Tamandua tetradactyla: one gene and its partner. Each later gene encodes a partner of the first gene's protein in a complex. Links are inferred from orthologs where the notes say so. Each region holds a gene or a part of one and is shown in the gene's direction. Other genes may lie near its edges.

What was found.
Region 2: the proteins of S100A10 (region 1) and HLTF are in contact, whole or in part, in a crystal structure (PDB 4HRE), measured with the Homo sapiens proteins. The link is inferred for Tamandua tetradactyla from reciprocal best matches to the Homo sapiens genes S100A10 and HLTF. Residues at the interface, in NP_002957.1 of Homo sapiens: Phe42, Asp58, Leu59, Asp60, Gln61, Gln70, Ser74, Leu75, Ala77, Gly78, Leu79, Ile81, Ala82, Tyr86; in NP_001305864.1 of Homo sapiens: Thr32, Phe33, Phe34, Pro35, Phe37, Phe39.

Annotation. Positions count from the first base shown.
Region 1 is NC_135330.1:3,154,581-3,162,770, forward strand, and holds the start of S100A10 (protein S100-A10), read left to right. Parts: upstream 1-5,112; 5' UTR 5,113-5,190; intron 5,191-8,190. UniProt on the Homo sapiens protein: Because S100A10 induces the dimerization of ANXA2/p36, it may function as a regulator of protein phosphorylation in that the ANXA2 monomer is the preferred target (in vitro) of tyrosine-specific kinase.
Region 2 is NC_135331.1:42,025,867-42,033,389, reverse strand, and holds the start of HLTF (helicase-like transcription factor), read left to right. Parts: upstream 1-4,276; 5' UTR 4,277-4,491; coding exon 4,492-4,511; intron 4,512-5,706; coding exon 5,707-5,914; intron 5,915-7,523. UniProt on the Homo sapiens protein: Has both helicase and E3 ubiquitin ligase activities. Possesses intrinsic ATP-dependent nucleosome-remodeling activity; This activity may be required for transcriptional activation or repression of specific target promoters.

The DNA of each region.
Region 1 (8,190 bases):
AAATGCTTTTGCATGAGGAAGAACAAATGAATGTCATTACTGCACGGTCTTGAAAATGGATGGTAATTCATATTTTAAAACTTAAACTTATGTGTGAGACTGTATCAAAAAATGTTTATTTAGTACAAAATTTTTATTTTGACTAGTGCATTTTCTAATATAACTTATGTGGATAGCTTAATTGAACACCACAGTACACAGAACCTTGAGTAAGGCATGAGATTTTGTTGGTTTGTCCAGAGTGATGCCCTGATAAATCCCAGAGTGATCTGAACAGTGAATAAAAAAGTATTTGCAAAGTCCCCTTGGGGGAATGGTGAGAAAAGGGGAAAATTCAACTTGCCCAAGTGGAGAATTCTTGATATTCTCACAAGCAGGGGGACAACCAAAGCAATAGGCTGAGCCCCCAGTCTTGGGGTTTGTTCATATGAAACTTATATGTGGGAGCCAGGGTTAATGGAAAACCTGCAGAATTTGTTGGGAGCAACTGGCTTCAGAGTGGCGTCGGCAGTAAACTGTGGAGACTGCTATCTGCTTAACTGGAGGACAGCCTGAGAGGGAGAGAATGTTTGTTTTTTCTTAAGCCCCAAGGTCTTGTTAGCTATCTCTTGTATGTAGAGAGTAATATACTGATAAGTAGGCACTCTGTTTTTTTCACGAAATGTATGCCTGCTTTTAGTCACCTAAACCCTGCAATATAGAAGCAGGAACTAATTAAAAATAAAGTTATCTGTTTTCTAAGCTTCAGACCCCCTGAACCCATCTGTTTCTTTCTTTCTTTCTCATCATTCCTTAATATCGTTCGAGCTCCATTTCATAGGAAGCAACACTTAACCCCGCAAAGGATAGGTCAAGCCTACTTAAAATTAGGCCTAAGAGTCATCCCCAAGAGAACCTCTTTTGTTACTCAGATGTGGCCTCTCTCTATCAGTACGGCAAGCAAACTCACCGCCTTCCCCCGCTCTAAATGGGACATGACTCCCAGGGGTGTAAACCTTCCTGGCAACATGGGACAGAAATCCTAGAATAAGCTGGGACTCAGCATCAAGGAGTTGAGAAAACCTTCTCGACCGAAAGAGGGAAGAGAGAAATGAGCAAAATGAAGTGTCAACAATGTCTGAGAGATTCCAAACAGAGTTGAGAGGTTATCCTGGAGGTTATTCTTACGTATTAAGTAGATATCACCTTGTTATTCAAGATGTAATGGTGAGGCTGGAGGGAACTGCATGAAAATGTAGAGCTGTGTTCCAGTAGTCATGTTTCTTGAAGATAACTGTATAATGATATAGCTTTTGCAGTGTGACTGCGTAACTGTGAAAACCTTGTGTCTGATGCTTCATTTATCTACCTTATCGACAGACGAGTAAAACATATGGATTAAAAATAAATAAATAATAGGGGGAACAAATGTTAAAATGAATTGAGTAGATTGAAATGCTAGTGATCAATGAAAGAGAGGGGTAAGGGGTATAGTATTTATGAATTTTCTTTCTGTTTTCTTTTTCTTTCTTTTTCTGAATTTATGCAAATGTTCTAAGAAATGATCATAGTGATGAATATACAACTATGTGATGATATGTGAGTTACTGATTATGTATGTAGAATGGAATGATCATATGGTAAGAATGTTCGTGTTTGTATGTTGGTATGTTTAATAGATAAAATTTTAAAAAAATAAAAAATATAATAAATAAACAAAAATTTTTTAAAAATTTTAAAAAGCTATATAGTTATACAATTATCTTCAAGAATCAAGGCTACTGGAACACAGCTCAACAGTTTCAGGTACCTCCCTCTAGTGTGGCTAATTCCTACTTGTCCTTTAAAACCCATTTAAACCAAAGGTAATTGATATCCTCTGATAGGAATCTGTCCTAAGGAAATTGCACATAGACAGAGATGTTTATTCAAGAAATAGTCAGGTCTACATATAATCATTTATGACAGCAAAAAGTTGGAATCATCCTAAATGTTAAAAAAATATGGGAAATGTAATCAGTTATATCTCACACTTGAGTTTTTTGTTTGGTTGGTTTGGCTTTTGGATTGCCTGCAAACGAGTCTTGACTAGATATCCATAAATCAGCGGTTATCACCTGACATGATGCTGTGATTCCTTAATAGGACGTTTTAACTGACAGGAAAGTGTATCTTTGCTACAATTGTGATTTCCCCTGTTAACTCAATGTCTGGGCAGACAAACATGGAGTGAGGCTTCTACTGGTGCAGGGTACAATGTGATATACATAGAGAGACAAAGAAACAATGCATTTCCCAGATCAGAGGGGTCAGGACAGCAAACGGCTCTGCCCAAGCAGTGACACGGTGCTGAAGTGTGATCGGTATAATACAGTAATGACTCAACATGCAACTCAAGTCTTTTGACTGTGCTGCCAAAAATACTAATACTCAAAAGAATGTGGCTGTATGCGTTAGGGTCATGCTGAACAAATAAATCCCCAAATCTCGAGATTTTCTCACTCCCAAAGCTAGCCCAATGGGAGCCTTCTGCTTGGCAGGCAGTTTCCTCCACGGGGTGACTCAGGGACCCAGGGTCCTTCTGACTGGTTCCTCTGGCCCAGAGCCTCAGAGTCCTGCAGACGTGGAGAAAGAAGGTGGGAAAGTCACCTCCGGACTGCCTTGGCCTGAAAGTGACACATGCTTCAAGTCCCATTCTGTGGGTGACCAGTCCAGGCCCCACCCAGGTGCAAGGGGTGCCAGGCGTGTAACCCCCCGCTGGGCAGCCACTTCCCGGCAGCAGTCTACCCTCCCGGCTGGGCAGCCACTTCCCGGCAGCAGTCTACCCTGGAAGAGGAGGCAGGCGTTCTGGGGACAGCCAGACCTCCTGGCCACAGCCGCAAAACTGCAAACCGTTGAGCACCACTGGATGACAGGAGCTTGTTACTATCAAACAGAGAAGTGGGAAAATATCCACTTAAGTAAAACAATCCCCCCTGCTGCCAGCATGGGTTTGAGTCCAACCCATGCACCCGAGGAAAAAAAGAAGCCATGTGATGATCTGTCTGGTGTATACATCACAATAAAACTGCATTTTTTTTGAAAGTCACATGAAGGAACTCATTCCAGCATCATACACAATAAAATATGCTCATGCTCACACATATACTCACAGTCTTGACAAATACTTAATGTAAAATGTGTTTAATGTTTTAACATTTAATGAACAGCAGTGAGAAAAATATATATATATTTAATGAAAATAGTAAGGATAAAGTGTTACATGACAAAAGTAGAATTTATAATTTTACATCAGTGTGATCACAAATCTGTAAATACATATGTACACATGCATAAAAAGACCGAAGGAAATATAAGAAAATGTTCACCTTTAGTTCATGAGTTTACACATAAATTTTTCTTTCTTAAACACTGATGCATTTTCTAAACCTACAGGAATGTAATCTTTTTACAATCAGATTTAAAAATCAGGGTGCACGGGTGGTTCAGGGGTAGAATGCTCACCTCCCATGTGGGTTTGATTCCCGGACCAGGCACCCCCACCCTCACCCCCCAAAAAAAGGATCAGAAGTTACTGTTATTTTTAAAACTTCTCTCCAAGGTTGCGTCCTCCCGGACCTTCCCCTGACCACTGCAGCGTGACCCGGCGCCGCTGCTCACTGCTCCTGGAGTGTCCCACCCATTCCTGCACCTCACTACCCACCTGCATTTTCCTTGCCTGCTGATCTCCTAACAATAACCGGGTCTCTGAGGAAAGCCACTGAGTCTTCTGATCTCTGAATCCCAAGGGCCTGACACACACTGCAAGCATCCCGAAACACTTAGGCACCACAGGAGGAAATTAAACGAGTAAGCAGGAGTAGGCAAGCTCAGCTCTGCAATCTTCCCTGGAACGGGGAACCGGGTTTTTTTTCCACTGGGGACGGCGACCTGGGGCCAGGAAGGCTGAGGAACTGTCCCCTGGAAGAGACGGCACAGGGGCCCAGGGGGGTCAGAGCTGAAACTTAAGTTGGGTTTTCCTGACAGCTGCTAGGATTAGTCACAGGGCCACGCTTGAAGGATTCCCCAGTCGGCTGATTCCTTCGGGATCACTCACTCCTCTCGGGACCTCCCCTAGGAACTAAGTAGGAAGGAAAACCCCAGACCTTGGGACTGCGCCCTCTTCAGCCAGCAGCTGCTAGGAGTTTGCATTCAACAAAGTTAAAATAAATGTCCACAGTTAAAATAAACGTCCACGGTTAGGGATCGCTAAGAAACACTTAGGTTTTCTCTGTATGCCTTCAAGCAAAAGAGCTCGGGGGGCCGAGCTGGCTAATGAACGAAAAAAAGATTTTAAAACTTAGATTTTAACGATATCAACCACATCTGAAGTTGAGCTACTGACATAATGCAGCCACGCGGACCCAGGGGGTGGAAACCCGTCGTTCAACAAAGGGGGAAACGCCCCTGGGCGGAGAGCCAAGCAGCCCCTCCTTCACCCCCCTCACCCCCCACTCCCTCCCTCACCCCCTCCCTCACCTCCCCACCCCCTCCCTTACCCCCTCACCCCCCTCACTTCCCCACCCCCTCCCTCACCCCTCACTCCCTCCCTCACCTCCCCACCCCTCCCTCACCCCCTCACCTCCCTCACCCTCTCCCTCACCTCCCTCACACTCTCCCTCACCTCCCCACCCCCTCCCTCACCCCCTCCCTCACCTCCCTCACCCCCTCCCTCACCCCCACCCCCTCCCTCATCCCCCTCCCTCCCACCGCCCCCAAGCCCCCCCCCACCTCCCGGCCCCGACGCGCCCAGGTCGGCTTCTAGCGCGGAAGTGAACGGAATCTGAGAGCCCTCTGCCCGCGCCCCTCCCGGCGCTGTCTTCTGGGAAACAGTCCCTAGGCCTGCGGGGCGCGGAGGAGCCGCCTCTGCGCCTGGCCGACGCGCCGCGCCCCGGCACCGCCGGACCCCGGGTTTCCGAAGCCGAGCCCGGGCGGGCGGGAGGTCCTGAGGGGCGCGGCGGGCGGCGCGGTGCACCTCGGGGGGCGGGGACGGGGTGGGCGGCGCAGGGAGGGGAGGGTGGGGAGGGCCCGGCCCGGCCAGGCCCCTCCCGCCCGCGCCCCTCCCGCCGCCCCGCGTACTAAGGCGCCCGCCCGCCGCGCGCCGCTCACTGGCTCCGCGTCCCCGCTCCCGAGGCCCCGCTCCCGCCGCCGCCGCCGCCGCCTCCGGCCAAGGTGAGCCCCGCCGGGCCCGCGCACCGCCCGCGGCCCGGACCGTCCCCACCCGGGGCAGCCCCCGGACCCCAGTGCCGGGAGCCCGCGACCCCAGGCCAGCGAGCCGAGCGCCCCGCGCCCCCCGCCACTCCGCGCCTTCCGCCGCCCCGCGAGCGCGCGGCCGGGGCCACCTGCCTTGCCTGCCCTCTGCCGCGGGACCTGGCCCGGGCCTCTGCCCTCCTCCCGCCCGGTCGTCAGCCGGTCTTTGCCGCTGCCTGCCTGCCCTTCGTCCACGCTGTCGGCTTTTCCAGACGCCGCGTCCCGCCGTCCTGGCCGCGGCATGGGGGGGCCCTCGCGGGCCCCGCCTCTGTCCAGAGGTGCCCACCCCGGGCTGGACGGTCCTGCGCCCTCGGGGGGAGGGGGTGGTAGCAGGGGCGGGGGGCCGGGCGGGGCCCTCCCCGGGATGCTCCTCAGACCTGCGCCAGGGCCCTCGGGTCGGGCTTCCTGTCTGCCTCGGAGACGGGGGCCCCACTGCGCAGCGAGCGCGCGCCGTCTGTTTTCTCCGCACAGCGAGGAGACAGGGGCCCTGCCTGACTTGGTTTCTCCACTGATGGACTTTTCCCCTTCTTACCATCTGAACTAAATCAGAGGACTGGGAGGGAGACGGGCGAGGGCGGGCTGGAGGGCAGCTCTCCCCAGCCCAGATGAACCTGGCCGAGTGCCGTGGGACAGAGGTCGGTGGGGCCAGGGTGCCCCCTCCACGCTGGAGGCTGGCCCGGGCAGCACCCTGCAGCCGGCCTCGCCGAACTGAAAGCAAGCAGAACCCCGAGGCCAGGCACGGCAGAGCCCTAGGCCAGCCTGGGTCACTCTAAGCCCACCGCCCTCCCCTCGCCCTCCCAGCCCCGCCCCCTCCCACGGGGCTGGGAGTCCTGCAGGGTGGGGTTACCACGGAGGGCTGGGGGTTCTCTAGCGGTGAAGGGGCTGGTGACTCAGCGGTGAGACCATGTGGGCGGGGCCCTGCTGCTGCCAGAGACTCTGCAGATGGACAGACACTCCCTGGAGGAAAAGGGAACTGTGCCATCTTAGAGGGCATTTTCCAGGAGGAAGTGAGTCACTCCAGGACTGACCCACGGTCTGAAGGAGAGCTATCTTCCTGAACTGTAAGGACAGTGATTAGATTGGCAGAGTCATGGCGAGACCATGCCACCCCATTATGGGTCCCTAAGGCCTGGCAGCCTGCCCCGGCTTTACTTGGGAGGTAGCTTTTCCCGTTAAGAGGTTTGCGGTGGCTGCAGATTTTTTTTTTCCCTCTGCAGCTTGAATTTCAACCTCCAGGAGTAGATTTTTATATCCTGCACTTAGAGGTGGGGTCAGACTCATGGAAACACCCTGCAGTGATCTTTGCTTCCAACTTGTTTCAGCAGATTGCAAAAGATAATGCCAGGGGGTGGGGCAGGAACCAGTGCATATAATTCATTTGGAATTTCATCATCAGCCCTGCCCCCACAGATTCCTATCTGGTTTCTATTTATTCATCCCTTTCTAAATGGTAAATACTCTCCTCAACAGCGCCAAGCTGGCTTCTTCCTTGAGGTCCTTGATCCACCATTTGGGGCTTCTTATTGCAGTTTTTCAAAATTTCTTGAGGCTCTCCTGTATAAAAAGCAGTTGTTTGGTATCAGGCTGATTTCTAGGTGATGCTTCTCCTGGCTTCTCCCGAGCATATGGCATTTGGGTCCTCTTTCTCCCCACGCCTGGCTTCTGGCCAGCCTCAAGCAGCCACCCCCGCGAGGTCAGGCCTGGAGCTGTGGAGTTGGGCCTGGGTGCGTCCCTGCTTTCCACAGACAGTTCCAAAAATGTGGCTTTTTTAGAACACTCCCCACTTGGTGTGCCTCTGGATACAGTCAAGTCTTTTAAAGTAAAACCAGAGGGAAACAATGGAATCCTTTCAGTGTTATAATGTGTAAATTAGCATTCAGAGTGCTGGGAAAGCTTGACAAAAATCGTAGGAGCATTCCTAAGAGTCTCCTTTTCCTGGCACTTAATTTAGGAATCTCCCATCAAAAGCAAAAACAATGAATTTAAATATTTTTAACAGCAGTTCTTAGCACTTCGGTCTCTTCGTTAAATAACTACATCTATTTACTGGTTCAGATTGATGCCTGATGAGAGCAAAATGGGTGTACTTCATTGGGACAGAGGAGGCGTCTAAGTTTTCTTCCTTTTGGATGTTTCTGGAACTTTCCTTTGCTGTCCACTTCCTTAAGGGACACGTTTTGTTGGTAAAAAGTTGAGAGACAACCTGGATCCTGACCTACTGCCTCAGTTCATTTCTTCTGAATTCCTTTTAAGGATCAAATTCAATGAAAACCTCTTTGGTTCAATTTTCAGAAAGCAAAAATTTTTAAATGCTTTTTTTTTTTTCAAAATTCCCAAAGCCAAAGGAAGGAAACCTCAAACACATTTTCAATAACAGATGTTTGCTATCACTGACACCCCGCCAGTTATTTTCTGGGTGGGCTGTAAGACAGCGAGACTAAGGGTGAGGCACAGAGGAGCAAAGTAAATCCGACCTCGTGCTCAGGAGAAGTGTTCTCTTTGAAATTACGGCCGGTTCTGGGCATAGGTCCAGAGCAAACATTTGAGATTGCTCAGGAGCAGACGCTCTGTGCTAAGCGGGCCCCTGCTCCCCTGTCACTCCCAGGATGGTTCAAACGTACATACGAGTATCAGTTTCATTCTTACCAGTTTATTGAGCATGAGGCAGAAGATGGGATAAACAGAAAGACGTGACAACAGCACAAGTGAGAAGAGGAAAAAGGCATGCCAGGGTCTGACCAGACCTGTTTAGCAGGACATGCATTTTTTCCTGTGTGCACTACTGTTTCATTCACAGGTGAGCCCTTTTGCGGCCCCTTTCCTGGCCCCTCCCAGCTCCGAGCCTTGAGCTCAGGTTTAAGGTTTGCAGCCCAGTCCTAAACAATCACACTCAGACCTCGGCTCCTGCCAAGGAAGTTGTCT
Region 2 (7,523 bases), on another chromosome or scaffold:
TACTATGGTTATATATGGTATTAACATGAGTGGGGTAGAGGATATGATGGAACACACTGTACTGTTTTTGAAATTTTTCTGTAAGTCAAAGCTAGTTAAAAATTAAAAGTTAAAAAATGGTTCATAATTTTTTGCTACAGTTTGTTTTATTTTCTTATAGCAAAAAAGCAATGCATGTTCCATGTAGAGAACATTTTACATGTATGTAAACAAAAAGAAGGAAATGAAAATCTCCAAATTCAATCAGCTAGAGATATCTGCTCTAAATATCTAGGTATGAATCCACTGAGTTATGTGTGTATGGGTAATATATGGCAAGCATGAATTTCAATTACTATCTGCAAAGAAAAGCCTTTACTTCTATTGAACTTAATTTGCCTTAAACCTCCCATCTACCTGATGGGAGGCAACTTATCTCCCAGGTAATTCATTTATGATTTAAATCCAATCAAACTCAGGTCCAAATTCAGTCCCCTTCCTCCTTCTCTCCAGGAGATTTATGTCTGGACTGCATTCGTCTTCTGTAGGAACCCATTGCTGATATGACTCATCTCATCTTATCTTTGGGCATCAGCCTCTTGCTTCTGAAGTTCTTGCTTCCCAGAACAGTGCAAGAGATTCACTGGGGACTCTTTCAGGGTTCCACAAGGATGCCTCTGCACCCTTTAGCAGAGCTACCTCACTTACTTTACTTCTTTATTGCTCTGGGACATTTCTGATCTCTGAGACTCTAAGATCTGCAGAATCCTAAGAGAATTCCTAAGGGAATCCTGAGCAATGACGCACAGTTTCCATTTCTTGCGGAATCTTTGGAAACTTTCCTAGGCTTTCTATCACCCCTCCCTTAGTGGAGCCTGGCCTGGGTGAGGCATTCAAGGTCTTTTCCCAGTAACCCACTTAAGGATTTACTCTGCAAACCCTCTTCCCTGTCATTCCTGAAAAATTTCCTCATCCATTGAACTTCTTCTCCTTTCAGGTGAAGCAAGCAAGCAAACAAACAAGCTCTTACATCATCATATATTCTTCTGGAATCTATTAGTCATGACATCAACTTGGAAGTTTTGGGATTAAAGTCAGACATTTGGAACTCCAGCATCTTCTCTTAAAGTTATTTTTGTTGCCAAAGGCTTCACAATTTTATTTTGCAAAGCAACTGTAAAAGGATATTTTGAGACAATTGTGAAACTGTAGTTATGAACTAGTTATTAGAAGACATCAAAGATTGATTCATTATTAATTTTGTTGAATGTGATAATGGTCTTATGAATATGAAATCAATACAAATATGAAAATATCTGTATCTCTTTTAGAGAAGTTACTGAAAGCTATGGTGGAATGGTAAGCAACAAGAGATTAAGAAGCTGGAGCAGGAGCTAAGAGACAGAATGAAGCCCACATATGCCATCCTTTGATTTTATGCAGGTGACATCAAACAATAATGGGGTAACATGATTGACTTGCATGAAGAGGAGATGAGAAAGTGCACTTGTAACTGGGAGTTGGGAGGCTGGAGGAATTTTCTGGCCCCTCCCTTTCCTCATCACCCATAACCAAAACTATCAGCAAACCCTGTTTGCTCTCTTAGCAATACCACCTCTCCATTCAAAGCCACCATCATTTCTGACCTGCATACAGTAGTTTCCTAATTATCAACTATTTTCTTTGCTTCTTTTCTTCTCTATAATTCATATCCATAGAACTGCTTAAACATTCATTGACTTCCAACCATATTTAAAATAAAATATAAACCTTACCATAGATCATAAGTTCCATTGTGACCTGACCGCCTTACCTTCCTGACCATCTTCTTTTTGTGCCACTTTCCTCCTACTCATCAGTTCAACTACACAAGTTCCCTTTCATTCACTTACAGTCGGTTCATTTTTCAGGAAAAATTATCTACTGTGATATTTTTGAATTTTTAACTGTTGTTACATTTTAATCAAACTAGAGAAAACTCCACTTAAATGCAATTTTTCACATACAAAGAATAAAGAATAATGAAATGAAAAAACAGAGTGTTCACATTCCACTGTTGAATTTGGGATGTAAAATGTGACAATGTGTGGAAAAGTGGGGAATTTAAACAGCAAATATTAACTTGAAGCCACCTCCTTTAACCATGGAACTGTTATTATTCATAGGTCTTGAATTTTGAAAGACAGAATGGCCTTTAGTCTCATATTTGACACATCTGGAATGTTATCTTTCAACCTATGAAGATGGCTTCATTAACTTTCCATACAAAACATTATCATTGTGGGGATTTTCTGGCATATATTCCAATAATTTGTTTAGAATCGGCACACTAAAAACTGGAACTGCATTGAAATTAGCGTTGTAATAATACAAGAAGTTAAAGGCAAATAAAAAGGCATTTTAAAAGAACACAGAAAATTTGATTATGTATTAATCAGATTTAACAAGGAATTATTATTTTGGTGAAAGAAAAAATGATATGCATAACAAAATGTCTGAATTTCTTATATGGATATAAAATGATGTTTGGAATCTGCTTTAAAGTACAAAAGGAAAAAGGAAAAAATGGTTAGATTTTTTCTAACCAAATAGTTAAAATAATTTGAAATGCCACTGTCTTCAAATTTCCAATCATCTTCCTTCTGTTTATTTGAAGAAATAAATTGCTGCAAATTCTGCTTCTCATTCTGCTGATTCATGTTTATGGCCACCAAATTTTATTTAGGATAATAAACAAAAACTGAAAAACTGTTCTATTGACGTCTCTCATACTCTGCTGATGGGAGTGTAAAATGAACCACTCTATGAAGGACAGGTGTCAAAATTTTTTTATCACATTTACAATTCTATGTCTCCTTGAACCAGTTATTGTGGGACAGCTCTCCTGTGCAGTACAAGTAGCTCAAAGCCCAGCTCTGGGGCAGCTGCTGCGCCCGTTGAAAGCCTTCCCTATTGGGCTCCTATGGCAAGGGGTTAGCAAGGACAGCCTCGCTGAGGCCCTCTGGCCCACCCACCCAACACCCAGTTCTCTGCATCCTCCTCAGACTTTCCCAAGCCAGAGGTGGAGCTCTCAGCTCCCTACAGTTCCTTAAGATAAACTAGGCAGGTGCATGCCTCAGGGGAAGCTGGTTCCGTCCATTAACTGCAATTCCCAACAAAATGAGTAGTGCTGTTGGCACCTCTTATGTCGTTCCTTTACTAAGAAGTGGAAAAATCTTCTTCAGAAAGAAGGGAAAGATGTGGGAGGCGCACTCTATAAATCTAGGTTCAAATTAATATGTGCTGAACTCGGGGTGTTGCAAAGATTGGCTAGTAGGCTTAAGGTGAAATTTAATTTTGAGAATAATTCCCCCCCCACCCCCACCCCGCAGGAAATGAAGGAAGGCATCTTGCTGCTAACTCCAGGTCTCATACACCCTGAAACTTATTTAGTCATAGACCCTAATACACATCACTTCAGACGGGATTAAAGTCGGAGACAGGATGAGGTAAGGTCTGAGTATTACCAGGATGAAGCGCGACCCTTGAATTAGCGCTGATAAAAATTTCTAGCCTCCCTTTATTTGAACTATGCTTGCTTTCAGAAACCAAGCACCCAATCTTTGCCCAAGCTAGGCCTGCTTTCAGAAACGAAGTGCAGGAGGCTGGAAACCACAAGTACAGCTCAGACGTCCACGGCTGAACACCACATGCAGTTGAAAAGTGCAAAAGTGCTAACTGCAGATGCAGAAAGCAAAGATGCTCATGGGACCACTTGCACATACCCAAGCCAGCCCCTCATCCCCCATAAACGAATCTCACACCTCCCATTGGTGAGAAGGTGTCTTTTTTGGATACAAGCCCACCCTTCTCTATTCTTCAGCTAAAAACTAAAGTGCTGCTTTGCTTTATCGAACCGGGTTTCCTTCCACTGGTGCGAGGGACACGGGCCCGGACCTAGCCCACCACCTGGAGGGTCCAGCCCACAGAGGGTTGAAGAATGAGGGTGAGGCTTAGGACTCAGGAATAAAGCAGAAGGGAGTCTCATTTGCTATTGCTTGAGGCCGGGAATCAAAGAGAAAGCCCACACCGAGGGCACCACAGCTCAGCCCCCGGGCCCGCGTGGCTTTCCCGCGCGCCTTTCCCGCGCGCCGTCTTGGGGGCGGGGGAAGGACCCGGATGGAGCCGCCCCTGCGTCCCGGACCCCCACCGCCTTTGAATCGCACCGCGGGGTGGAGTCGCCCTCCCTCCCCTGTCCTGATTGGCTCGTGTCCGTAAACTCGTCTTCTCAATTGGACGACCCCAATGCCAGTCACAAAAGGTTTCTGGTCGCTCAGATTGCTGCTAGAAGGAGACGGCGTCGACGTTTGACTGGGCTCGCGGCGTGTTACCCTCCAGTCGTGAGCTTTTCCTCTGGCGCTTTGAACTTGTCCGCCGCCTCCCGGCTGCCAGGCCGAGAAGGAGGCGTACCTCGCCGGCTCGAGAACGATCTGAGGGTGCCCAGGTGCTCCCCTGGCCGCCCTGTTCAGCGCCATGTCCTGGATGTTCAAGAGGTAAAGGGGCGGCGGGGGTGGGGCGTGGGAGGTAGCGGCGGGCGGCGTCCCCAGGTGAACCTGACCTTCCGCGCGCTGCCACCGCGTCCCCTGTGCGGTCTGTGCGGCTTGTATGCATTCTGTTGGTAGCTCCGGTGGCCGCAGGAGAAATAAAGGCATAGTCACGGATGGCGAGGGGAGGCTCCTCAGGCAATTCTTGTGCAAGGGCCTTGGGAAATCTCTGTCATCGGGTGTGGAGGCCTGGGACTCGGAACTCCGCTCCTTAGGGTCTTGGCGCGCCCTGTATTCGATAAAACACCCATCAGACGCTCAGCGTGCGCTAGGCATTGTAGTGGAAGGAGAGGGCCGAGTGCGGCTGTCCTTGTGCCCCAGAGGAGCTTACAGCTGATGTGCACGCACAGACGTGCAAACACATATCTGCAGCAGAGCCTAAAGAGGAGGTGTGCGCGATAAGCAAGGAAGACGCAGAGGTCCCAAGAAGTGGCTGCCTGTTCAGAGGAGGGTGGAAACTTTCCCTCAAAGCCCCTAAAAGACTTCCCCTCGCTTACCGTTGTCTGAATGGATGTACATGCCCATTCTTGAAACAGTTATGCAGAGGGAGTTTGAAGTTACCTTTAAACCGACGGCGGGGTACGGAGATCAGATTCCCATCCTGGCGTAGTTCAGATACCTGAATAAAATAAGGGTTTATTCGGAGGAAATTGGAGTAGTGGATGCTGGATGGGTGTCTGCTAAAATAATCCAGAGATGGACTGTCTTATCCGTGAAGATGTAAACTGCTTCATGTATGGTAGTGATGCTGTCAAGTCTCTTCTAGTTTAAACCCCAGTGAAATTTTGGCACGAAACTGTAGTTAAAGATATCGCATACGTTTCAGATTAAATAGCTTAATTTAACTTTAAATACATTTAAATCACTGGGGAAGAGATTTGTGAAACCTTATAGATTTTTTCGTTTTGGATACCCAGGGGCGCTGGGCAGGTGGGTCGAGGAGACAATACTGGACTAGTCGGTTTCTAGGAAACCTCCCTCGCCTCAATTCTTGCGTTAATCAGAGTAAATCAGTGTTCTTATATAGTTCGTCTCCTAAAATAAACTGTGAGAAAACTATTGGCCTATAAATTTTGGTATAGTTTTGAGAAATATTTGGTTAAATATTGTATTGTTTTCTGCATCCCTTTCTTTTTTTTAATAGAGATCCTGTTTGGAAGTACTTGCAGACAGTCCAGTATGGAGTCCATGGAAACTTCTCACGCCTTTCATATCCAACTTTCTTCCCCCGTTTTGAATTCCAAGATATTATCCCTCCAGACGACTTCCTAACTAGTGATGAAGAGCTAGATTCAGTTTTATTTGGAACTTTGAGAGGTCATGTGGTTGGACTACGCTATTACACAGGAGTAGTGAGTATAGCAGTAGATACTAAGTTAGATTGATATGTTTATGGTATTAATCTTGAAAATTAGAAAATCTGTAAGGTGATATGTGTAGTCACTGTCTATTTTTACTTTAAGTAATTGAAGTATATTCAGACAGTACATAACAAATACCTGAACTTCTCTGACTTAAAGTATTCTCTTACATTTATATCATACCTAAATAAACAAAATACTTTGGTCAGCACTGTCTCATTTGATCCTACAATAACTCTAAGGTAGAGAGTACATCTGATAGCTCTTTTTATAACTGAAGAACTGAAGCTCAGAAAGGATAAATATTTGCCCAAAACACATAGATACTAAATAGAAGTTTGGGAAATGACTTTCAAGTCCATTGTTTTCTCCACTTCTGCCCCTCAGCCATATTTCTACGCTTTCGTATTTTTGATTTAGGTTGATCAGCTCCTACAAGGTAAAGGAATTGCCAATTTTAGTCCCTTTCTATAGTAAGACTATTTCTCTAACTCCCACCTTTTCTTTCCCTCCTATGTCTCATTCTCTATTTCTAGTCTCTGCATTGTGTGTATGAGAGAAAGAGCTATACGGGAAGAGAGAGAATATATATAACTTTCTCTGGTTTGTAGTCTTTGACACAGTTGTCTAGTATGCCTCTGTGTTATCTAGATAATAATATACCTCTAATTTCATTTATTTACTTTTTATAAAAAATTTCAAACACGCATTAGAGAAAATATTACAGTAAACTCCCATATACCCATAACCCAGATTCAGCAATTAACAAGATTTTAAATATTTGCTTCATCTAACCATTTTTTCCTTTTTCCTTTTGTACTTTAAAGCAGATTCCAAACATCATTTTATATCCATATAAGAAATTCAGACATTTTGTTATGCATATCATTTTTTCTTTCACCAAAATAATAATTCCTTGTTAAATCTGATTAATACATAATCAAATTTTCTGTGTTCTTTTAAAATGCCTTTTTATATTTGTTTTTTTTCAAATCAGGATTCAAATAAGGTTTATATATTACCTGTGGTTATTAAGCCTTGGAAGCCCAACCTCTTTTTACATGTCATTGACTTGTTCAGAAACCACATCACTTCTATAGAATGTTCTAGATTTGCCAGTTTTTCCATTTCCTGCATATTTTCCTTCTGTTGAAGCTTCTCACATTATTTTTTTGTTGCCTGGAGAATGTCCTGCAGAAATTCCGTGGGATGAAATTCCATCGTCTTGCTCTGTTTCTTCTTCCATTCCCCTTTATCTTCTTTATGTTGAAGTTCAGATCATTTTGTGGTTGTCTGAAATATGTCCTTTAGGAACTTCCTTAGGAAGGAACATTGTTTCATGAAGTTTGTGTGTTCATAATTGTGGCATTTGTACTTGAAGGGCAGTTTGGCTGAATATAAAATCCTTATTCCATATTTTCTCTCCATGATATTTTTAAAATGTTGCTGTGAGAATTCTGATGCCAATATAAGTAAACTGGAGATTTTTTTGCCTTGATGACCAGAGGATATTTTTTCTTGTCTCGAAAGTCTACTAGTTTTACTAGTCTTAACTGTTGACTGTTGTGTAAGTTTTCCTATCAGAAAATCTTCTCTAATT